3 linked regions of the Lonchura striata genome follow. The protein of the gene in region 3 purifies or fractionates together with the protein of the main gene of each other region. This does not show direct contact. Links are inferred from orthologs where the notes say so. Each region holds a gene or a part of one and is shown on either strand. Other genes may lie near its edges.

Region 1 (7,697 bases), on a different chromosome or scaffold from region 3:
TGTATGACTCCTCCAGTGGTACATCTTTCTCTCCCTCTTGTGCAGGTGCAGGAATTTGAGCATGTGAACGGCCGCTGGAGTATGCCAGAACTGGCAGAGATAGAGGAGAACAAGAAACTTTCACAGCCCAGCTCACCCTCTCCCAAAACTCCAACTCCTTCGACACCAGGGGATACTCAGCCGAATACACCGGCTCCTGTTCCTGCACCTGGTGAGGGCTCCCCTCTTGCAGAGTCCTGCGTCCTGACCTTAGCCTGGCTGCTCCCCTCACCGGAGTTGTGGTGATGGGGTCTGGGGGTGGACGTAGATCAACTTACTCTCATGTTAGGAGGGCTGCCAAAGACATTTGCAAGCCCTTAAAGGCAAGAGAGGACACTGGCTTTCCTGGAAAGAACTGGCATCAGTGAGAAGCCCAGCATTTGTAGTGGGTAGGAAAGGGGAGGGTCATGTTAGTTCCATTTTGATGAGCCTGATCTCTGCAAGCAAAGAAGTGGTCTTGGTAACAGGGAAGACCTTACTGATTTGCTTCTCTTTTGTCTGCTGTGCTGCTCTGGCATGGGGAATACACAGAAGATGGAGTAAAAGTAGAAGAAGGAGCAAGTACTAAGGAGCAAGGAGAGCCTTCTGAACCAGAGAAGGAGCTCAGTGCCTCTGCTACTGAAACAGAGGCCCCTATGGAGGTGAGTTTTGGCTTTTTTGCCTTGTAATTTCTCTTGTGAATTTCTCTACTGCCCTCTCTTCATTTCAGCTGAGGCAGAGATGAGTTTTTAGAGTGATAATTGAAGATAATCCTCTGGTCCTCAGAATTGGCCTCACAGTTTTGTGTGTCTTTACTTTTTAAACTACTGTGACTGTTCTGTTGTCGTGTACTGCTATGCTTTGTGTCTCACTGCTCTCTGTCCTCAGCAGTGTGCTCAGCCTGTGGAGACACCGCCCCAGGAAGCAAAATCCCCAGTGAACTCCACAGAAGCAGATGAAAAAAAAGTAGAGGAAACAGAAGTGAAAGAAAGACCAGATGAACCAATGGAAGTAGAAAGCAAAGGTACAAAGCACGTGATCGTAAAGAAATAGGCTTGAATGTAGAAAATCACTGGGAACTTGCAGAATAGTATTGGGTTTCACTGGTCGAAGAACAAAACTCTGGACTTGCTACATTCCTGTGCATCTCATGTTCCCCTTCTTTCCCGCAGCTGATGCAGAAAAAGTGGAAGACAGAGCAGCTACTGAAAATCCCCCTGACCCTCCTATAATCACTCTGGATGAGAAAGGTGAGGCATGATGACTCCCTTCTCTTCCTTAACCCTTCTTCTGCAAGGATTCATTGTGGATTCAAGTTGTTGCACTATCTGCCATGTTTGTTTTAATAATTTCCTGTGTGTACAGATGAGAAAAAGGATGATGATAAGAGAGATGTGGTGATGCTACAGAATGGAGAGATGCTGAAAGACTCAGTAGATGAAAGGCACAAGAAGGCAGTAAAGCAGCGCTTCATGTTCAACATAGCAGATGGTGGTTTCACTGGTATGTGATCTTTGTCTGCTTGAACTTGTTTATAAGTGCCTGCTTATGTTTGTGAAGTAACTTCCAACTGTTCTGGTGTCTCTCGCCTTTGCAGAACTACACTCCCTCTGGCAGAATGAAGAGCGGGCTGCCACTGTCACCAAGAAGACCTATGAGATCTGGCATCGGCGTCATGACTACTGGCTCCTAGCTGGGATTATCAAGTATCCTTGCCATGAGAGACACATTCTCCCAGCTTGCACATAATTTGTCACGGTGAAAGTGACCACTCTGGATCTGACTGGCATAGGTTAAGTGAAAGACTGTTTTATCTTCACAATAGTGAAAGTGATGGTGGGAAGGGGAGTTTCCTGCAGCATAGCTAAGACTAAGCAGAACATAGTTCTCATTCCCCTTGGCTCCTGTTTGTCCCCTCTCTGTACCCCCTTTCCCCACCCCCTCTGGAAAACAGTACTGCCTGGGCTGTGTATTCCCTTGTTTTCACTGCGTTTGTTTGCCTGAGCTCATCCCATCTCAGTCATGGCTATGCCCGTTGGCAGGATATTCAGAATGATCCACGTTACGCCATCCTCAATGAACCCTTCAAGGGTGAGATGAACAGGGGTAACTTCCTGGAAATAAAGAATAAGTTTTTGGCAAGGAGATTTAAGGTAAGGATTTCTCTTTAGTGCGATAACTGCCTGGATCTCTAAGAACAGGTTCTTGCAATTCTGAGTTTTCACCAAGAAAGTGAAAAATGTATGCAATGCCTTTTTGTTTTAGGGGTAATAAAAAAAGCAATATATCTCGGGATCATGCAGTTGCTCCATGATAGGAGCTTCCTTTTTTCTGGAAATGGTATTGGGGAGTGCTCTCCATCCAAATGTTTGTTGAACAACTGGTAAGCAAGAGGCTTAAGGTTCAAGCAGCTGTTTTCATCACAGCTTCTGCTTGGTCTGCTGCAACCAGATCAATGTTTTGGGGCAAAACACTGATCAACTGTAGATTGAATGGCAAGTTCAGCACTGACAGGATTCCAGCTGATTTCTCCAAATGCTTACAAGATTTTAGACTCTTTCTATAAATAGGATGGAATACTTTTCCCTTGGGTTCAAAGAGTAATCACTGTCCCATTTGCCTCATAAAGAATGTGTAAAAAGAATCAGAGGACGAATGAAAATACTAGAGGAGTTGTAGTCTGTTAAACCAAATGTACCCTGGTTTTTTTGTGTATCTGACTTTGCTTCATGAAACCCTTATTGTTTTGGGCTACTCAGTAAAACCGGCTGGTGAAAGGAGATTCAGCTACACAATCTCACCTTATGAGATGGTGGGGAATTGGCTCAGGAGAGACCGGGGGTACAGACAAGGCTTCCTCTCAGTCAGCTGCTGAAAGACTCATTCCTGCCCCACCTTGCAGCTCCTGGAACAAGCGCTGGTGATCGAGGAACAGTTGCGGCGAGCTGCCTATCTGAACATGTCCGAAGACCCATCTCACCCATCCATGGCTCTGAACACACGTTTTGCAGAGGTGGAATGCCTGGCTGAGAGCCACCAGCACCTGTCCAAGGAATCAATGGCTGGGAATAAACCAGCCAATGCTGTGCTGCACAAAGGTAATGCGGTGTGTTAAACAGGGGCAGGATAGGTGTTCAGCAGCGCTGTCCCCTCTGGGGTGTCCCTTTCCCGTCTGAACAGATGTCCCTTTCTCTTGTAGTTCTGAAGCAGCTGGAGGAGCTGTTGAGTGACATGAAGGCAGATGTGACTCGTCTGCCCGCCACAATCGCCCGCATCCCCCCTGTGGCAGTGCGCCTTCAGATGTCAGAGCGCAACATCCTCAGCCGCCTGGCCAACCGCAGCAGCGAGCCCCCGCCACCGCCCCCTCCCCAACAAGTACGTACCCGCTCTGGTCAGTAAGGAAATTCCGGGGGGAGGGGCCCTCCGTGGGCCTGGCTGGGCTCTGGTGACCAGCCCGTGAGTCTCAGGTCCTCCTCTCTCACCCTACAGGTGGCCCAGCAGCAGTGAGTTCCTGGCCCAGTGCTGTTGACCTTTCGGCCAAGCTGAAGTGACTCCCCTAGCCCACCCCTTCACACTCTACCCCTCTGCCTGACATTCCTGACTGGGTGCTGTTTCCCTCCATGGAAGCTGCTGCTCAGGTCTCTGGAAGGAGAAGAAACTCCTTCCTCTGCAGCCAGCCCGTTGGAGCAAGGAGTGTGTTTAGGAGAGAGGGGGATGGATGTATGATGGACTCTGTATATAGTGACTGGAGGCCCCAGCGCCATGTCTGTTACATGGAGAACCTGGCTGCATTGCTCGTTGCCTCCGCCTGGAATTCCAGTTTTGTTCTTAATTTTATTTTGAGTTTGTTTACTGAGACAAGTGCGCAGGCAAGACCAAGCAAAAGCCAGGACAGAGACAAAGCTACCTCCATCAAAATCCTTTTTAATAAAAAAACTGACCGGACTTGTCAATTAATAAAGCAGCTTGAAGACAAAAGCAAACAATGAAAAACCAACAAAAAACAGAGCAAAACGTTGATAAAACTGAAAAATAAAATTTCCTTGTATTTTATTTTGTTGTCTCTAGTATCATGAGTGTACTGGGGTAAGTATGTGGTCTCAGGACTGAAAGAAGAGGGTTCCCATGCCTTTTTGCTATATCAGAGCAGCTTTTTGGGGTACCCTACACCTCTGAGAGGGGCAGTAGATGCCCCAGCCCTGGCAGTGTTTAAGGCCAGGCTCCATAAGGCATTGAGGAACCTGGTCTCAGGAGTGGTGTCCCTGCGCCTGGCATGAGTGTTGGGCTAGATGCTTAATCCTCTGCGCCCCTACCTTACCAGTCTGATGCCGTGGCTCCTTTCCCCGCTGCGGCTGCAGCACGCCTTTCTCTGCTGCCTCTTGGGGCTGTTCCCCCCTCCGTGGGTGCCTGCGGCAGGAGCGCCGCTCCCTCGCTGCCGGGCCCGGCCCGACGCTCCCGGCGCCGCCGTTCCCGCGCCGGGGCGGCCCCGCGCGCCCGGGGGCGGGCGGCGCGCGCCGCTGACGCTGCCGGCAGGGCCAATCAGGGGCCAGGGTGGGCGGCGCGGGGGCGGGCCCGCGGCGGCGCGTGCGCCGGGGCGGCGGGAGCGCGGCACGTGCGGCGGGGTCCCGCGGCGCGGCCATGGGGCGGAAGCTCGACCCCACCAGGAAGGAGAAGCGCGGCCCCGGGCGCAAGGCCCGCAAGCAGCGCGGGGCCGAGGTGGAGCTGGCCCGCTTCCTGCCGCCAGGTAAGTGCGGCCTGGACCGGCCCGCGGCCGCCCCGCGGCGCCTGCGGCCGCCTCACCGCCGCGTGTCTTCCCGCAGAGCCGGAGACCGGCAGGAAGAAGCTCTCTAGTCACGGCAGAAAGAGGTGAGGGGGCGGTTCGGTGGCCGCGGTGTGCGGGCCGGGCCGGGGCTGATGGCGCTTCCCCTCCCGGTGCAGGGCTGCGAAGCGGCGGCTGGCAGCGGGCGGCGGCGCGGCGGGGAGCAGGCCGCGAGGAGGAGGAGAGCGGGAGCCGACGGGTGAGTGGGAGCGGGTCCGAACCGGGCTGGCGGGCCTCAGTCCTGCTTCCCCCCGGGCGCTGCCGCCGCCGAACTTCTCTGGCGTCCTTTTCAAGGCAAGGGATGCGTGGAATTTCATTGTTCTAAATCACAGAATCCTAGAGTTTCCTGAGTTGGAAGGGACCCACAAAGATAGTTAAGTCAGCTCCTGGCCCTGCACAGGACCGCCCCAAGAGTCACACCACGTTCCTGAAAGTGTTGTCCAAACCCTTCTTGAGCTCAGATGGACTTGGTGCTGTGATCGCTTCCTTGGGAACTTGTTCCAGTGCCCTCTGGGTGAAGAATCTTTCTGATATCCAACCTAAACCTACCCCCTTCCCCTGACACAACTTTGATTGCCGTACCCTCAAGTCCTGTCTCTCAAGTCCTGTCGTGGGTCACCACAAAGATCAATGCCTGCCCCTCCTCTTCCTCATGAGAAAGTTGCAGACTGCTATGAGGTCTCTCCTTAGTCTCCTCCAGGCTGAACAGACCAAGTGACCTCAGCTGCTCCTCAGACAGCTTGACCTCCAGACCCTTCATCATCTTGGCCTTCTTTTGGGCTCTCTGTAATAGATAATAATGAGTTTTATCTGATTTCTGGTGACTGCCATGCCAGGAGGCAGCGTTGTCTGAAGAACTAGTCAAAGGTCTCTCTTCTGTGTGTTAAGTCCATTTTTTACTCATTCTTTATTCACAGAAAGGTTGTTGCAGGCTGATTTTATAGCTGAGGCTTTTAAGTCTGTGTGTTACATCTTGTGTAGCCCAGGAAACTTTTAAAGTAGAAAGAAGGAAGGATAGACAAAGATTCGGGACAGGATACTGTAATATGTCAGAGCAAATAACCATAAGAATTTTGTGGCAGTGTTTTTATTTGGTAATTATAGTTAGATCTCCTGAAAGGTCCGGTGGGGGAGAGGTGGGAACATGCCCAGTACTTTATGAGATGTAGAGAGCAAGTCCCTCCCTCTGGACAGGCAGCTCAGGACTCGGACTAAGGCCTTTGTGTGTAACAACTGAAAAAGCAGAGCAGCTGATTTTGGAAATAATGCCTAACTTTTGACTGTTTCTTCTGCCTCTAGTTGAAGAGCAGCTGTCCCCACAGAAGGATAAACGTGCTGTAAAGGCAGCAGGACAAACTGTCCGTGGCCGTTCTGGCTTCAGTGATGGCAATTCCAAATGGCTGGCTCCAGCCAAAGTCAAGAAAACTCAGCCTAAAGGAAATCATGTGGAATTATCCAGTGATGGTGAGGTGGAAGAGAGTAGCTGGGAGATGGAGGAGGAGGAGGATGGGAGCAGTGAGGAGATGGTGGATGATTATGGTGCCTCATCATCAGAGGAAGAAGAGGTAGGAACTTCTTGCCCTCAATTACACAAGGAATACTTGATGTTGGTGGCTGAAAGGACCCCTCAGGCCTGGGGGGGAAGGATGGCTTTAGTGGCAGTGGGTGGTGAGGTGGTGGAGAACTTTCCCCTTTTTCCTTCACAAGAGTGATTTAAAGTTTAACAGTAACAGCTGATTCCAGCATAACGTTCAGTGCTTTTGTTTGTTGACCCTTTTAAACAGAGCAAGTAAATTTCACAGATGTGGGAAGTAAAGGGGTGACTGTGGATGTTTTTTGATTAATCTTTTGTCTCTATTTAGCTGCTGCCTATTGAAAAAGCTGCCCTGAAGCAGAAGCCTGACAGGTGAGTGTGTAGAGCCTTTCCCGAGGAAAGAGGAGCCTGTGTTGTTATTCTTCTGATTTTGTGCCATCTGAGAAATGGTAGTTGAGAAGCATCTGTGTGATCCTGTTCTTTGTTGTTAGGGAAGGCCTCAGTGAAGATGACAGTGAAGAGGAGGAGGAAGAAGAAACAGAAGAGGCAAACAAGCAGAAAATGGGACAGAAGGAAGAAGAGGGCCCTGATCTGCAGCTCAACCTGGATATAGATGAACAATTTAAACTGCCAACTAGTGAAGAGATTGAGAAGGAGGATATCCTTTTTATCTGTGGCATCCATAAGCCGTGTGCATGATGCAGCACGGGGCCTGGATATAAACAGAGAGCTTCCTTTGGACTTTTATCATGCACATTACTTAGCAAAAGTGTCTCTGCGTGACAAGGTATTTTTAGCTGAGCTGTCCTAATAGATAGTGTATAATGCTGTGCTTCTCTATAGCACAGTTAGGAAATCTGTGACACCCTGTATGGGGCTTGGAACCTGCCCTAATTTCCTTTCTAGTCCTAAATACATATAGATGATTTATTATGTGGTTTGTTCCTCTCTACCTTGATTTTCCTGGTGGGTGTTTGTGTAACCCATTCCCAGAGTTTCCGATGACAGCAATTCTAGCATCCAAAGTTCTTGCTGCTGGATTTGCTGATTTTAATTTTCTGCCTTCCTTCTTACTCTCCTTTATACTGCTTGGTTGCCCTTGGGGAATTTCTGGTCTCTTTTTCTTCTGCAGGTAATGCTTTCACTATTAAAACGCTACTTTTGTTAGTTTTTTGGGGTTTTTTTCCCTGTTTTTTTCTTTTCATCTAAACTAATTCTTTTAAACACCCTCTAGTTCTGCCTTGTGAACTTTTTTGTCCAGTTTCTTCCTTTGAATCCTGCATCTGCTGAGCTCTGATGGAAGCAGTATTCCAGCAGAGCCTTTCT
Region 2 (7,189 bases), on a different chromosome or scaffold from region 3:
TCCCCTTTATATCTGGCCTTGCTCATACCTTGGGCTTCTTTTTGCTGACCAGCTCACTGACAGACTTGGTGGCAACCTCCACATCCTTAAAGGCGTATTTGGGGTCAAAAAACTTGCTGTCAATTTTGTCTGGAGCCTGATAACCTGGGATGAAGAGATGAGAGCCATGAGAAACATTCCTCTGGGACAGAGGGATCAGAGCCAGCCAGAATGAAGGAATCAGAACCACTCCTGCTGGAATGGAGGAATCAGAGCTACTTCTCTGGGGAGAGGGCTCAGAGCCATTCCACTGTCCCAGGAGAAATCAGATCCATCAAAAACATTCCTCCTGGGATGGAGTAATTACAGCCAACAGCATATTCCCCCAGCCCCACCCCAGCCACTCCAGATGCCCCTGGATGCTCACCCTGGCACACCACAAAGATCTCGGCAGACTCGTTGCGGGAGGCCTGGGGCTTGGTGGCCTGGACCTTCTGGAAGAACTGCTGGAAGATCCACAGCAGGGACTGGTAATCCCGGGAGCGGAAAACCTTGGTGATGAACCAGCCACCCTTGCACAGGAACTCACAGGCCAACTTCAGGGCCATGAGGGTCAGGTTGGCTGCAGCAGGAGAGAGCAGGGAGTGAGGGAATGACCCTTCCCTGGGAGGGTGGAGACAGGCTGGAATGGGTTTCCCAGAGAAGCCGTGGCTGCCCCATCCCAAAGGCCTGGCTGGATGGGGCTTGGAGCACCCTGTGACAGGGGAAGATGTCCCAGCACGGGGCTGGAGCTGGCACTGAATGGGCTTTAAGGTCCCTCCCAACCCACAGCAGCCTAGGACCCTGTAAGGGCAGTGAGCTGTCCCAGTGTCCCCACCCTGTGAGTAGGCGTCGTGCACCCAGCTGGCTCCCACGTTGGGCGCTCCATCGTTCAGCACCACGTCCACCTTCCACGTCTGCAGCTCCTTGCGCAGGGCCTGTGGGACAGGGACACACATTCGTCCCTCTCTGAGGACCCCAGCCCATCCCCTGTGACCCCCCTGCCACCAAGGGCACCTGCAGCCCCAGGCCAGTACCTGGCGGCACTTCTCGGTGGTGATGTCCTCCTGCAGCGTCACCACGTTGGGAATGGGCTTGATAGGCACCAAGTCCACCCCTGTTGAAGAAACACAGCAAATCCCCTCAAAAGGGACCCAGCCCATGCCAAGTGGCTTCCCCACCCAGCCCCTCCTCCTCCCTGGACGCCCTTTGTCACACCCAGGGACTGTCCCAGCTGTGGGGACAGATCAGTGCTCACCGATGATCAGGCTGGACACCGGCATGAACTTGGAAGCCACCTGAAGCCTGGGAAGCACAGAGAGGAGCAAAGCTGCAGCAGCAGCCCAGGGGAGCTCAGCCAGGACTGCGCTCCCAGGGCTCGGTGTGCAGCACAGGGGTCCCACAGCACAGACCCCCGGCGGCTGGTGGCACTGGGGGTGGCTGTCCCCACTCACCAGCCGCCGGGAGCCGCACACAGGTCCAGCAAGGCCCGGGCCTTCTGCAGGAACTGGAACTTCCGATTGAGCTGCAGCAGCTTGAAGGAGGAGCGGGAGCGGAAGCCTGGGGGACAGCAGGAGGGTGGTTCTGGGGGTGCCCGGGACCACAGCCCCCTGCCCCCGGCACTGGGCTCGGCCCTCACCCGTCTCCTTGGCCAGGTGGTAGAACTTGTCCCGCCGGCTCTTGCCCAGTTTGCTTTTCTTGCCCATGGTGGAGGCGGGGAGGCCCCTTGGGGGGGCTGGGATGTGCTGCCAGCCAAGGGCTCAAGCCTGGGGGGGAAACGGGGCTGAGGGGTGGCCTGGGCCCCCGAGGCACTCGAGGCACTGCAGGGGAGACCGGCCTCCGTCGCTGCCCCCTGAGTCCCTCCAGCTCTCTCCCTGCCTTACCCCTCCCAGTGCCCCTCCGGTTCCTCCCTCACTGCCCTCCCAGGGCCCCCCAGCGCCCCCTCACTGCTCCCGGCCCTGCCCCTCAGGCCCAGCCGAGGCACGTTTCGGCCCCGTTGTCCCCCTGAGGCCTCGGATCACCCGAGCTCCACACCCCTCGCCCTGACACCCCCGAACCCCCTCCCCCAGCCCAAGCCACCGCCCCCAGACACTGACCCGACCCAGACCCAGGCCCCGATCCAACCCCAGGCCCCGACCCAGACCCAAACCCAGACCCCGGTCCAGATCCCGATCCCGGTCCAGACCCAGCCCCAGGCCCAGGCCCCGACCCAGCCCCAGCCCCCGCCCCCGACCCAGACCGCCACCCAGACAGCGATACAGCCCCAGGCCCCGATCCAACCCCAGACCCAGACCCCAATCCCGATCCAGCCCCAGGCCCCGATCCAACCCCAGACCCAGAGCTCGATGCAGCCCCAGGACCCGATGCAGCCCCAGCCCCAGACCTCGATGCAGCCCCAGACCCAGACCCCAACCCAGCCCCAGGCCCCGATCCAGCCCCAGACCCAGACCCCGAGCCAGCACCAGACCCAGACCTCGATCCAGCCCCAGGCCCCGATCCAGCCCCAGACCTCGATCCAGCCCCAGGCCCCGATCCTGATCCAGCCCCAGGCCCCGATCCAGCCCCAGACCTCGATCCAGCCCCAGGCCCCGATCCTGATCCAGCCCCAGGCCCCGATCCAGCCCCAGACCTCGATCCAGCCCCAGGCCCCGATCCTGATCCAGCCCCAGGCCCCGATCCAGCCCCAGACCTCGATCCAGCCCCAGGCCCCGATCCTGATCCAGCCCCAGGCCCCGATCCAGCCCCAGGCCCCGATCCCGACCCTGCTCCTGTTCCTGCTCCCGGTCCCGCCGCGTGCCCGCACCGCCTTCCCGGCGTGCCCTGCGCGAACCCCTTAGCTTCCGCTTCCTCCCGCCCTGGCCGACATTTCAGGAGCGGCGCAGCCCTCCTCCGCAGCCTGCGGGCGGCAGAAGGAGAAGGATAGCGGACAGCTCGGAGGTGCGGGCACAGTACCGGGCCCGCTCGGTGATGCGGTCACGGGCCTGTCCTTCCCCTCCGGCGCTTTCCCACACGGACACAGCACCTCTGGCCGCTCCGAGCTGGCAGCGCGGTGCCGACACGAGGGGCCCACACTGCGCATGCGCGCTGGGCCGCCCGCTGTGTTCCCGGAGCCGGAAGTGACGCCACAGGCCGGCGGCGGGGCGCGGCGCCATCTCCGGCGGAGCCGATGCCGGCGGAGAAGATGGCGCTGGACGGGCCCGAGCAGGTGCGGCCGGCCGTGACTGGGCGGGGGAGCAGCGGGGCTGGGGAGGGACGGGGGCGCGTCCTGCTGCCCGAGCGGTGTGCTGCGGCCGCGGCTGCTCGGGCCCGGCAGCGTCGTGACTCGGCGGGTCTCGGGGAAGGCGGCGGAGCCTGAGCGGCGGGACGGGACCGGGACCGGCATCGGGATCGGGATGTGATCGGGACCGGGGTCAGGATCGGATGGGACCGGGCCCGGGGCACTCGCAGGGCGCGGGAGCCGGGGCTGCTGTGGGCAGGACGGGACACGGGGGACCCGGACTCGGCTGGGGGGTGCCGGGCAGGCAGTGCGGGGAGGGGAGGGACACCCGGGAGAGGGGAAGGGGAGCCGGGGCCCGGGCGCGGTGGTGCTGGGCAGTCGGGCCCGGCGGGGCGCGGCGGGTGCCGGCGGTCGCTCAGCTCTGCTGCCCCAGATGGAGATGGACGACGGCAAGGGCGGCTCGGGGCTCCGGCAGTATTACCTGTCCAAGATCGAGGAGCTGCAGGTGAGCACAGCCGCGGGGCACACCGGGCCGCTGTCGGGATGCTGTGGCCGTGTCCCGGCCCCTGTCCCAGCGCTGTGGGCAGGCAGGGCTCTCCCTGGGGCGCTGGGGACACGAGGTGGGGCTGTGCCCTGAGCTGGGGCTGCTGCGCCCTGGCTGAGGGGCTGCTCCTGTCCCAGCTGCCAGAGGGCAGGGATGGGTGGGATATTGAGATGGAATTGTTCCCTGGGAGGGTGGGCAGGCCCTGGCACAGGGTGCCCAGAGCAGCTGTGGTGCCCCCAGAGCCCTGGCAGTGCCTAAGGCCAGGCTGGAGGGGACGTGGAACAGCCTGGGATAGTGGAAGGTGTCCCTGCTATGGCAGGGGTGGGATGAGACAAGCTCTGAAATCTTTTCCAATGCAAACCCTTCTATAATTCCATGCTGGAAGCCATGTGCTGGGTGTGGCTGAGCCCCAGGCCGCTCAGCAAAGCCTTTCCCTTCAGCTCATCGTGAATGAGAAGAGCCAGAACCTGCGGCGGCTGCAGGCGCAGAGGAACGAGCTCAACGCCAAGGGTACGGCCTGGAGCAACTCCTGCTCTCCTGGGCTGGGCCGGGCCTGAGGGCTCTGGGGGCTCTGGGCCTGGGGGTGTGGCAGCCCTCAGGCCCAGGGCTGATGCTGAGCTGTCCCTGCCCCAGTGCGGCTGCTGCGGGAGGAGCTGCAGCTGCTGCAGGAGCAGGGATCCTATGTGGGAGAGGTGGTGAGAGCCATGGACAAGAAGAAGGTGCTGGTCAAGGTACGAGGCTGAGCTGCCCCCAGGTGCCGGGGCTGGGCTGGGGCTGTGGGACAGCTCAGGGATGTGGGGTGGGAGCTCCTTGTGCAGAGGAGCTCTTTGGTTTGGCTCTGCTGGGCCTGGGGCTACCCTGGGTGGCCAGTGGGGTTGGAGCTCCTGGCTCCTGCTCCTCCCAGGCCATGGGGATGTTCCTCAGCAGCGAATTCCCAGGGAAAGAATTCCCGGGGGTCTTTGCTCCTTTACAGGTGCACCCAGAGGGGAAGTTTGTGGTGGATGTGGACAAGAACATTGACATCAATGATGTGAGTGCCCCGGGGCTGTGGGGGTCCCCAGGGCAGGCAGAGACACCTAGCCCCCCGTGCTGTCCCCACAGGTGACCCCGAACTGCCGTGTGGCCCTGCGCAATGACAGCTACACCCTGCACAAGATCCTGCCCAACAAGGTGGACCCGCTTGTGTCCCTCATGATGGTGGAGAAGGTCCCAGACTCCACCTACGAGATGATCGGGGGCCTGGACAAGCAGATCAAGGAGATCAAAGAGGTCATCGAGCTGCCCGTGAAGCACCCAGAGCTCTTCGAGGCACTGGGCATCGCCCAGCCCAAGGCAAGTGGAGGAGCTCGGGGAGCTCTGGGGAGCCCCAGGGCCGCGCCGTGTCCCCCGGCGGGCTCTGAGGGCGGCGTGGCCATTGCAGGGGGTGCTGCTCTACGGCCCCCCCGGCACGGGGAAGACGCTGCTGGCCAGGGCCGTGGCCCACCACACCGACTGCACCTTCATCCGCGTGTCGGGCTCCGAGCTGGTGCAGAAGTTCATCGGGGAAGGTAACGGGGCGGGGGTGGCTCCGGGGCTCCTCGGGGCCGGCTGGGCTCGGGGCCAGGCTGAGCCCGCTGCCCGCAGGGGCCCGCATGGTACGGGAGCTGTTTGTGATGGCGCGGGAGCACGCGCCCTCCATCATCTTCATGGACGAGATCGACTCCATCGGCTCTTCCCGCCTGGAGGGCGGCTCTGGCGGCGACAGCGAGGTGCAGCGCACCATGCTCGAGCTCCTCAACCAGCTCGACGGCTTCGAGGCCACCAAGAACATCAAGGTAGAGGGGCCGGCCCTGCCCGGGGTCCTGCCAGCCCCTCGGTGCACAGGGTGGTGACAGCTGTCCCCCTGCACAGGTGATCATGGCCACCAACAGGATCGACATCCTGGACTCTGCCCTGCTGCGCCCCGGCCGCATCGACAGGAAAATTGAGTTCCCCCCTCCCAACGAGGAGGTACCAGAGCCACCCCCAGCTGGCCCTGTCCCTGCTGTCCCTACCCTCCCTGGGAGCCATTCCTGGGCTCCAACCCTCCCTGTGCCCTGCTCCAGGCCCGCCTGGACATCCTCAAGATCCACTCCCGGAAGATGAACCTGACCCGGGGCATCAACCTGCGCAAAATCGCGGAGCTGATGCCGGGGGCCTCGGGGGCTGAGGTGAAGGTGAGCTGGGGGCTCTGGGGACAGGGGTGCTGCCAAGGGGGGCACTGGCTGATGTTCCCCTCCTGTCCCCTCAGGGTGTGTGCACAGAGGCAGGGATGTATGCACTGAGGGAGAGGAGAGTGCACGTCACACAGGAGGACTTCGAGATGGCCGTGGCCAAGGTGGGTGCCAGGGGAGAGGTGACAGTGGGGGCTGATGGGGGCACACAGTGTCCTGGGTGGCGTTTGCCAGGAGCACAAACAAAGGGGTGTTAATGTGTGAGTGACATGGCAGAGGCTGCTAAACCTTCCCTGTGCAGGGCTGACACTCAGTCTGGGGGTGTTTTTGGGGTAATTAACACCCAATTTGGACGATGAATGTTGGACCCATCCCTGTCCTGTCCCCCAGGTGATGCAGAAGGACAGTGAGAAGAACATGTCTATCAAGAAGCTGTGGAAGTAACGGTGAGGCTGGAGCTGCTCCCTCCCTCGGTGCTGTTAATAAAGAGCTACTGTGGCCAGGCCCGGGCACTGAGCTGGGGACTGGTTTGGGGATGGGGTGGGGGCTGCAGGACACAGCACACACCCCACAGAGCTGCTGCTGACTGCTTTTATTAGAAAAGATCCAAAATAGACAAAAACTGGTTACACAAGAGGCAGAGCAGGAACCCCTGAGCCCAACCCTGGGAATCTGTAAACGCCCCCCCACCTCAGAGCCTGCAGGGGGGCAAAGGCACTTCAGTGGGGGTGGCAGTGGTGGCACTGCCCCCATGGTCCCCTCCCTCCTCCCCAGTATCTCCAGTTCTTGGTGCGCCTCTGCCCCCAAACCTCGTCAAGACAAGTGGTTAATGATGGAATTATGTAAAACAGTGGGAGTGGGGTAAGGAATAAACTGATTGTCACAAACTGAACCTCAGCTCTTGGTTCCGTATCCCCAGAGCAGCCCGGGGAGCCTCCCTGAGGCCCTGCAGGAGCCCAGTGCAGGAAGAGGAACTCAATCAATATATTAATTAATTAATCAAATACAAACCCACTGTACAAAACGCTGCCTTTTTTTTGTTTTTTCGTATTTTTTGGTTTTTTTTTTTATATAAAACCTGTTCACAAAAATAGTGCAAAACATCGGGGGGAGCTGGCGTTTGGAATGATGAACTTTGGTTGAAGAGGGGCAGGGCGGGGCCTGCGGGGCTCGGGGTGGGGCTGGCAGCTGCTCCCCACGGGCACGGGCAGCGCTCCC
Region 3 (6,151 bases):
CATCCAAATCTCCCTGCTATCTCAACAGCTATCTGTGTTCTGGCTTCTAGACTAAAAATCAGCTCTGCTTAGTTATCCACTTGTAACTGCATTCCAACTACCTAATCTTAGGTTTTGCAACTAGAGCTACAGCCTCCTGACTTTCATCTGCACAGTTTGGGTTTTTTTGTTTGTTGGGTTTTTTTTTTTTTTCATAAATACAGCACTGTGCTATAATCACATGAAATCTTTGGACAGGAAAATGAAACCTGCCCATTTACAAACCAACCAGAAATGTTTTGAAGTGTGTGAGCACAGATAATATCATCTCCATCAACACAGCTTGCTTAAGATTAAGCATGTCCCCTATGAGGTTCCTAATAAGGCCTTACAGTGGTGAAACCATGAGAAGGAATGCCCCATTATCTGTAATGAGTAATATAATTCCTGTAATAGGAAAAGCTCTGACTACCAGATGTATTTTTGTTATACTGCAGAAGTCAACTCACACATTTTATAAAAGATGGTGCCTTAAATCTTTGTAAGTTTTTTATTCCTTACAGACAGGTCTTTTACATTATATGGACTAGCAACTAGGAAAGAGTCTGTTTAGTCAAATTTGCATTGCTGTGTTTTGCTATTTGGTCTGAAAAAGCACTTATATGTCCCAGGAAATAGGACACATACTGAAATACATTAAATGTATGTTACAGGGGTTAAAAAAATGTATCAGGAAGCAGAATTGGGTCCATAAATTGTTGTACTTAATATAGCTTCAGTGAGCAAACAACTTCTCCGTTTTACAAAAAAAATTCTACAGCACAGATTTTTACTTCAAAATGTACTGAACAAAGTCAGTGGAAGGGAATTATTCTGAGATAGTGTGGATATTTTAAGGGCACTTTCTACTATTTTCCAAAATTATCATCACTTTGAGTTTGCCTGATAAAAGTGTTCTTCATAACAATCCTCACAGCAGGCTTATGAATTGATTGACTCATCTTATAACTACATCTACTGCCATCCAGAGGTAATTGGCAAAAGTTTGAAAAGTAAATCTAAGTTAATGGTATCACTAACAGTGAGACATTAATCCTGTACATGAGAGCAGCTCCTATCAAACACAAACCTCAAGTTGCAGCCCAGCTGAACAGAAAGTATAAAAATAAAAGTTAAGTAGGATAATTCTTTATTCTTTCTCACAAGAAAAACAAACCTGATGGTATGTCACATTGATGTTGTAGTACTTTTGGTGCATCACGTATATTCTGCATTATGCTTTCAAATAATCTTTTGAACTAGTGTTTCTGAAAATTATACTCTACTGTATTTCTCATGCAGCTACATTTTTTGTGTGGTTAAAAAAAAAAAAAAGACCCAATACTCTACAGCCTTCTTCACCTCAAAATAAAACTGCACTTTGCAAGAGAATCCAAACCCTCCCTGGTCACATCCAAGTAAAGAAAGCAAGCAAACAGTAAGCATTAAGTACATATATGCACATACTGTGACATATATTGCTATTGTTCATACTGAAGAGATAAAGTACCTCAGGGAAAGGGAGAGCAATGATGAAATTGTTTCATTATCTACAGACTGTAAGTGCCCACAGTTAGATGTTGCTGAGCCCTCTATCTGAGCACAACCCATAGGCAGCCTGTGAAATGTGATATCTGATATGCCAAAAGGAACACAGGAACCCCAGAACAGAGATGATCAAAATGAATAAACACTTCTAAAAATTCATTCTTTTAAAAATTGCTGGAAGAGTCTTTTTAAAATAATGAATTAAACATGAGATAATAAAAGCATTCATTTCCTAAAAGCTGTTTCTATTACTGAACATTGGTATTACCCTTTCATCTTTTGGAAAGCCCAGATTTGCAGAAGTACACACACATCTATTCCTTTGACAGAAGCCATGCACCTGGTTGCAATCCCCAGCTCTAAGCTGGGAGTACAAGCTCAAAGCATGGCTATGGTTACTACAGTCAGCTCAGAAGCCCCTCCTCAGAATGGGACAGTTTCTCAGAATATCCATGATTATTTACAAATCTCTGTTTATAAATCTTTTCCAATATTCTTCCAACAACCACCTTCTCAACCACATTGTGAAATCACAAACTGCAAGCACCAAAAGCAAGGTTGTGCTCTGAGGTGCAGATTCCTGAAATACATAAAAAGGCTGGAATTTAGATCAACACAGCAGTTTCCAGAAAGTAATTTTTACTTCTGAGATTCCTCTACATGTTTTCAGGTAAAGCAACATCAATTCCTGACATGCGCTCCTTCTGCTATTCCAGGGGGAATCATTAACAGTTCAAGCAACTTTGGAAGTGCAAGAGATGACATCCTCTCAGCCCAAGGCATCCACCTGATGCATTCTGGACTTTGTACAAATACAGACCAAAAGAACTCCAAGATATCTGCATAAGGATAAAAGAGGAGGGTACCTGGATCAGTGTAAAGGTATTAACCAGACTACCAAAATGGTGAACCTTGCAGTCCAAAAGTTCAAATTTATGCCTAAATCTAGATAGTGCCCATGTACCTCTTCAAAAAACTGTCTTTAAAATTAATTTTATCTGCAATTCCAGGGTAAAGTATGAGCTACCCAAGAGAAGGTACAAAATATTATCCAATGCCATCTTGTGGTAAACAAGAAAATAGTCCATGCCAACAAGCTTGGATTTAAATACATAGGGATTCTGTTGCTCCACAGTATACAAGTCATGCTCAAAACGGCTGACTTGGGGAGAAAAAAAATTCTTGGTTAGACTGTGGCAAAGTTGTGTTATGCTAGCCATTAGAATTTAAGAATCAGGTATTTGTCTTCAATGTTTTGTTTAATTTCAATAACATTGCTGTGGCACTACACTCAGAATAATTTCCATCACTCCAAAACTAATCTAAAGGCAAAAATGGAATAATAACTTAGAAGATAACTATACCTTGTATAAAAACACCCATAATTTCCCTCCACTACAGCTAAGTGTTCTCATGAGCTTGTTTTTAGGGCACCAGGGATCAGCTCAAAATATCATGGCCACACAAGCCAAATCACTGTATAGCTATAAAAGGATTCTTCTGCAGCCCATTTATTTAAAAATAGCATGGAGGTATCTGTGACCCAGCTGACCTTTAGGAGCACACCATATCACCCCAATCACCTCACTTATAATTATGTCTGTTGAGACATCTGCCAGATGATACTGCTTCCCAAATGCTGTTCCACCCCTCCCTTCTCTGGAGGGAGATCTACCCACAACACCTGTGTCAGTCTCGGTGGAGTTGCAATACAGCACTTGAATTTTGAATTGAAAGAGCACTCAGTGGGACTGTTCTACAGCAAACAGCATCAGAAAGAATCATATGCTTTAAAAAAATCAGTAAAAGAAGCGCATAAACAAACAACACACACACACATACACACCAAAAAAAAAAAAATTAAAAAAAAGGAAAAAAATATGTTCCTGTGTCACCGTCTCGGTGTTTGGATGCCACAGCACATCCCTATTGCAGGCAAAGGCAAGGGAATCTGCAGGGCCCCATTGACCCTACAATGGTCCTACCACTCTGCTTTGGGCATTTGCCTCCCTTCATGTCCTGAGTCTTCCCACGTATGTTCCACCTCAGCACCACTCATGGTAGCAGCATGAGACAGATTTGGGGCCACCCCGAACCCCACACAACCCCAGCTTGGGGGTCACAGAGGATTTCATCAGTATCATTGGTGATCATCGGTACCACAGGTGAGGGGTCCAGAAGGTGAAGTCCCACGAGGAGCGGCCAAGGGAGCTGGGGCTGTTTTGCCTGGAGAAGAGGCTCAGGCGCGATCTTATCCTTCACTACAACTAGGTGAAAGGAGGTTGTAGCCAGGTAGGGTTTGGCCTCTTCTGCTAGGCAGCTAGTGATATAACCTTGAACTGCACCAGGGGAGGCTCAGTTCAAGTATTAGAAATAATTTCTTCACAGAAAGGTTGATTAAACAGTGGAATGAGCTGCCTAGGGAGGTGGTGGAGTCACTGTCCCTAAAGTTTTTTAATGAAAGACTGGACGTGGCATTCAGTTTCCTGCTCTAGCTGACATGGTGATGTTTGGTCACAGCTTTGACTTGATGTCCTCAGAGGGCTTTTCGAGCCCAATTGATTCTGTGACTGGCAGGGCACGTCCATAAGCCGCTTCCCTGGCAAAGCAGGGCTCCTCCGGCAGGCCGCGGGGAGCCGCGGCGCCCTCTGGCGGGCCGGCGCGGCGGGACTACATCTCCCGGCGGGCATTGCGCCCGTCCCGCCCGAGGGCCCGGCGGTTCTGGGCCCGGCGGTTCCGGCGCGCTGACCCGGCGGAGCTTTCCGTGCTCCGGGGCAGCGGCGGCGCCGCTCGCACGTGTAGCCGCTGCCATGGCGGCCGTGCGGGTGGAGGCGGTGCTGGCGGCCGCCGAGGAGCAGGAGGCGGAGAAGCGGCGGAGCATCACGGTGGAAAAGGAGCTGGAGCTGGAGTACGACCTGGGCAATTTGCTGGCCGTGGACCGCAACCCCCCGCCGGCGGCGGCGCTGCGCGGGGCCGGCCCGCGGCGGGAGGCGCTGCTGCAGGCGCTGGCCCGGGACAACACGCAGCTGCTCGTGTCCCGGCTCTGGGAGCTGCCGGCCGAGCGCGCCGGCGGCGCCGGGGGCCCGCTGGTGGCGCAGCTGCCCGAGCCCACGTTCCGCCTGCCGCGGGAGAAGCCGCCGCCGAAACCGCGGCCGCCGACGCGCTGGGAGCAGTTCGCGCGGCTGAAGGGCATCCGCCGCAAGAAGAAAACCTCGCTGGTGTGGGACGAGCAGGCCAAGGAGTGGCGGCGGCGCTGGGGCTACCGGCGGGCGGGCGGAGACCCGTCCCGCGCCTGGCTGGCGGAGGTGCCGGCGGGCGCCGACCCCGAGGAGGATCAGTTCGCCCGGCTGCGGCGGGAGAAGCGGGAGCGGGTGGCGCGCAACGAGCTGAACCGGCTGCGCAACCTGGCCCGAGCCCACCGCGCCGGGAGCGCCGTGCCCGCCGCGCCCCTGCACCCCACCGGCCACCAGGACCGCGACGAGCTGCGCCGGGTCGCCCGCGTCGCCCGCGTCTCCACCGCCTCGCTCGGCCGCTTCCAGCCGCGCCTGCCGAAGGAGTCGGCGGAGCCGCCCTCCCGCAGCGGCGGCAAGAAGCGCCGCTTCGAGCCGCTGCTGGGCAACCTGGCGGCCGAGCGCAGCCGGCAGCTGGAGCTGCTGCGGGACATGGGCAGCAAGAAGCCGGTGCTCGACATCACCCGCGCCGTCAACAAGCAGCTGCGGCAGGAGGAAGCCGAGGCGGCCGCTGCCAACAAGGGCAAGAAGCAGTCGAAGCGGGGCAAGCGCGGCCGCCGGCAGCAGCGGCCTGGGCGCAGCGGCAAGAAGAGCGGAGCCCGGCGGCAGCCGCAGCAGCAGAAGGCTGCGGGCGGTGGTGCCGGCGCGGGCAGGAGAAAGAAGGCGTGAGAGACAGTGTGCAGCACGGGCTGAAGATGCCCACCGAGGCGTGGGAAGGGACTGTCACTGCCAGCCTCCTGCCCGGTGCTCTATTCACACACGTATCTGTCAATAAATGCGTTCTGACCTTTCTAAAATATCCTGCGTTTGGCTTTTAGCTGGTAGACAAGGAGGGCTGTGTTCTCCATCCAAGGGAAATTGGTGTCCTGTGAAGGGAGAAGGGTGCACCAGTTCCCTCCAGTCTGGGGATGTCACAGTGACTTGTTTCACAGGTAGTGTCGCTTCACAGTTGGCCTGCAGCATCTCTGCCAGGACAAAAGCTGAGCAAAGCTGTTTTCAGGTGGCTGGGACTGGACCGCAGATGCGACCTTGAGTTTTGATGGAGTAGCAGCCACAGGTCCAGTTAAAGGATGTGGCTGCTGCTCTCTGCCTTGGGCAAGTGGCCTGACGGTGGAGCTCTTGCTCTGTAAGTCAGCTTCTGCAGCTCAGCTCTGTGGTATTCAGATTCAGTTACAAAAGGAACATGGAAACTTACTGTAAAATTTATTGCAGGGCCTAAGAAATTATACAGATTTTCCACAGCATTTTGTTGATGAAAAAAAGTCTGAAAAAAGCTGCTGAGCAGCCATTGAGTTCAGCAGAAAAATGTTTGTATTGTACAGGTTAAAACCTAAATTTCTCCCTGTCGTAACAGT

The links.
Region 1: the proteins of RRS1 (region 3) and NOP2 fractionate together in Homo sapiens (co-fractionation; 3 studies listed by BioGRID and IntAct, with this or other methods). This does not show direct contact. The link is inferred for Lonchura striata from reciprocal best matches to the Homo sapiens genes RRS1 and NOP2.
Region 2: the proteins of RRS1 (region 3) and FTSJ3 purify together in Homo sapiens (affinity purification with mass spectrometry; 3 studies listed by BioGRID and IntAct, counting the BioPlex papers as one, with this or other methods). This does not show direct contact. The link is inferred for Lonchura striata from reciprocal best matches to the Homo sapiens genes RRS1 and FTSJ3.

Annotation. Positions count from the first base shown.
Region 1 is NC_134604.1:29,452,932-29,460,628, reverse strand, and holds the start of NOP2 (28S rRNA (cytosine(4447)-C(5))-methyltransferase), read left to right. Parts: upstream 1-4,597; 5' UTR 4,598-4,656; coding exon 4,657-4,762; intron 4,763-4,838; coding exon 4,839-4,884; intron 4,885-4,956; coding exon 4,957-5,036; intron 5,037-6,136; coding exon 6,137-6,402; intron 6,403-6,699; coding exon 6,700-6,743; intron 6,744-6,862; coding exon 6,863-7,029; intron 7,030-7,697. Other genes in the region: CHD4 (chromodomain-helicase-DNA-binding protein 4), read left to right, coding at 46-211, 571-680, 907-1,042, 1,191-1,268, 1,384-1,521, 1,616-1,724, 2,039-2,171, 2,921-3,116 and 2 more. UniProt on the Homo sapiens protein: S-adenosyl-L-methionine-dependent methyltransferase that specifically methylates the C(5) position of cytosine 4447 in 28S rRNA. Required for efficient rRNA processing and 60S ribosomal subunit biogenesis.
Region 2 is NC_134627.1:1,888,227-1,895,415, reverse strand, and holds the start of FTSJ3 (pre-rRNA 2'-O-ribose RNA methyltransferase FTSJ3), read right to left. Parts: upstream 3,078-7,189; 5' UTR 3,041-3,077; intron 2,915-3,040; 5' UTR 2,822-2,914; exon of another isoform or gene 2,780-2,821; intron 1,785-2,779; 5' UTR 1,725-1,784; coding exon 1,658-1,724; intron 1,579-1,657; coding exon 1,473-1,578; intron 1,324-1,472; coding exon 1,277-1,323; intron 1,136-1,276; coding exon 1,056-1,135; intron 957-1,055; coding exon 857-956; intron 602-856; coding exon 407-601; intron 145-406; coding exon 29-144; intron 1-28. Other genes in the region: PSMC5 (26S proteasome regulatory subunit 8), read left to right, coding at 3,185-3,223, 3,669-3,740, 4,220-4,289, 4,413-4,510, 4,753-4,809, 4,881-5,111, 5,200-5,326, 5,403-5,593 and 4 more; SMARCD2 (SWI/SNF-related matrix-associated actin-dependent regulator of chromatin subfamily D member 2), read right to left, coding at 7,054-7,189.
Region 3 is NC_134603.1:35,123,423-35,129,573, reverse strand, and holds RRS1 (ribosome biogenesis regulatory protein homolog), read left to right. Parts: upstream 1-4,243; 5' UTR 4,244-4,376; coding exon 4,377-5,465; 3' UTR 5,466-5,593; downstream 5,594-6,151. UniProt on the Homo sapiens protein: Involved in ribosomal large subunit assembly. May regulate the localization of the 5S RNP/5S ribonucleoprotein particle to the nucleolus.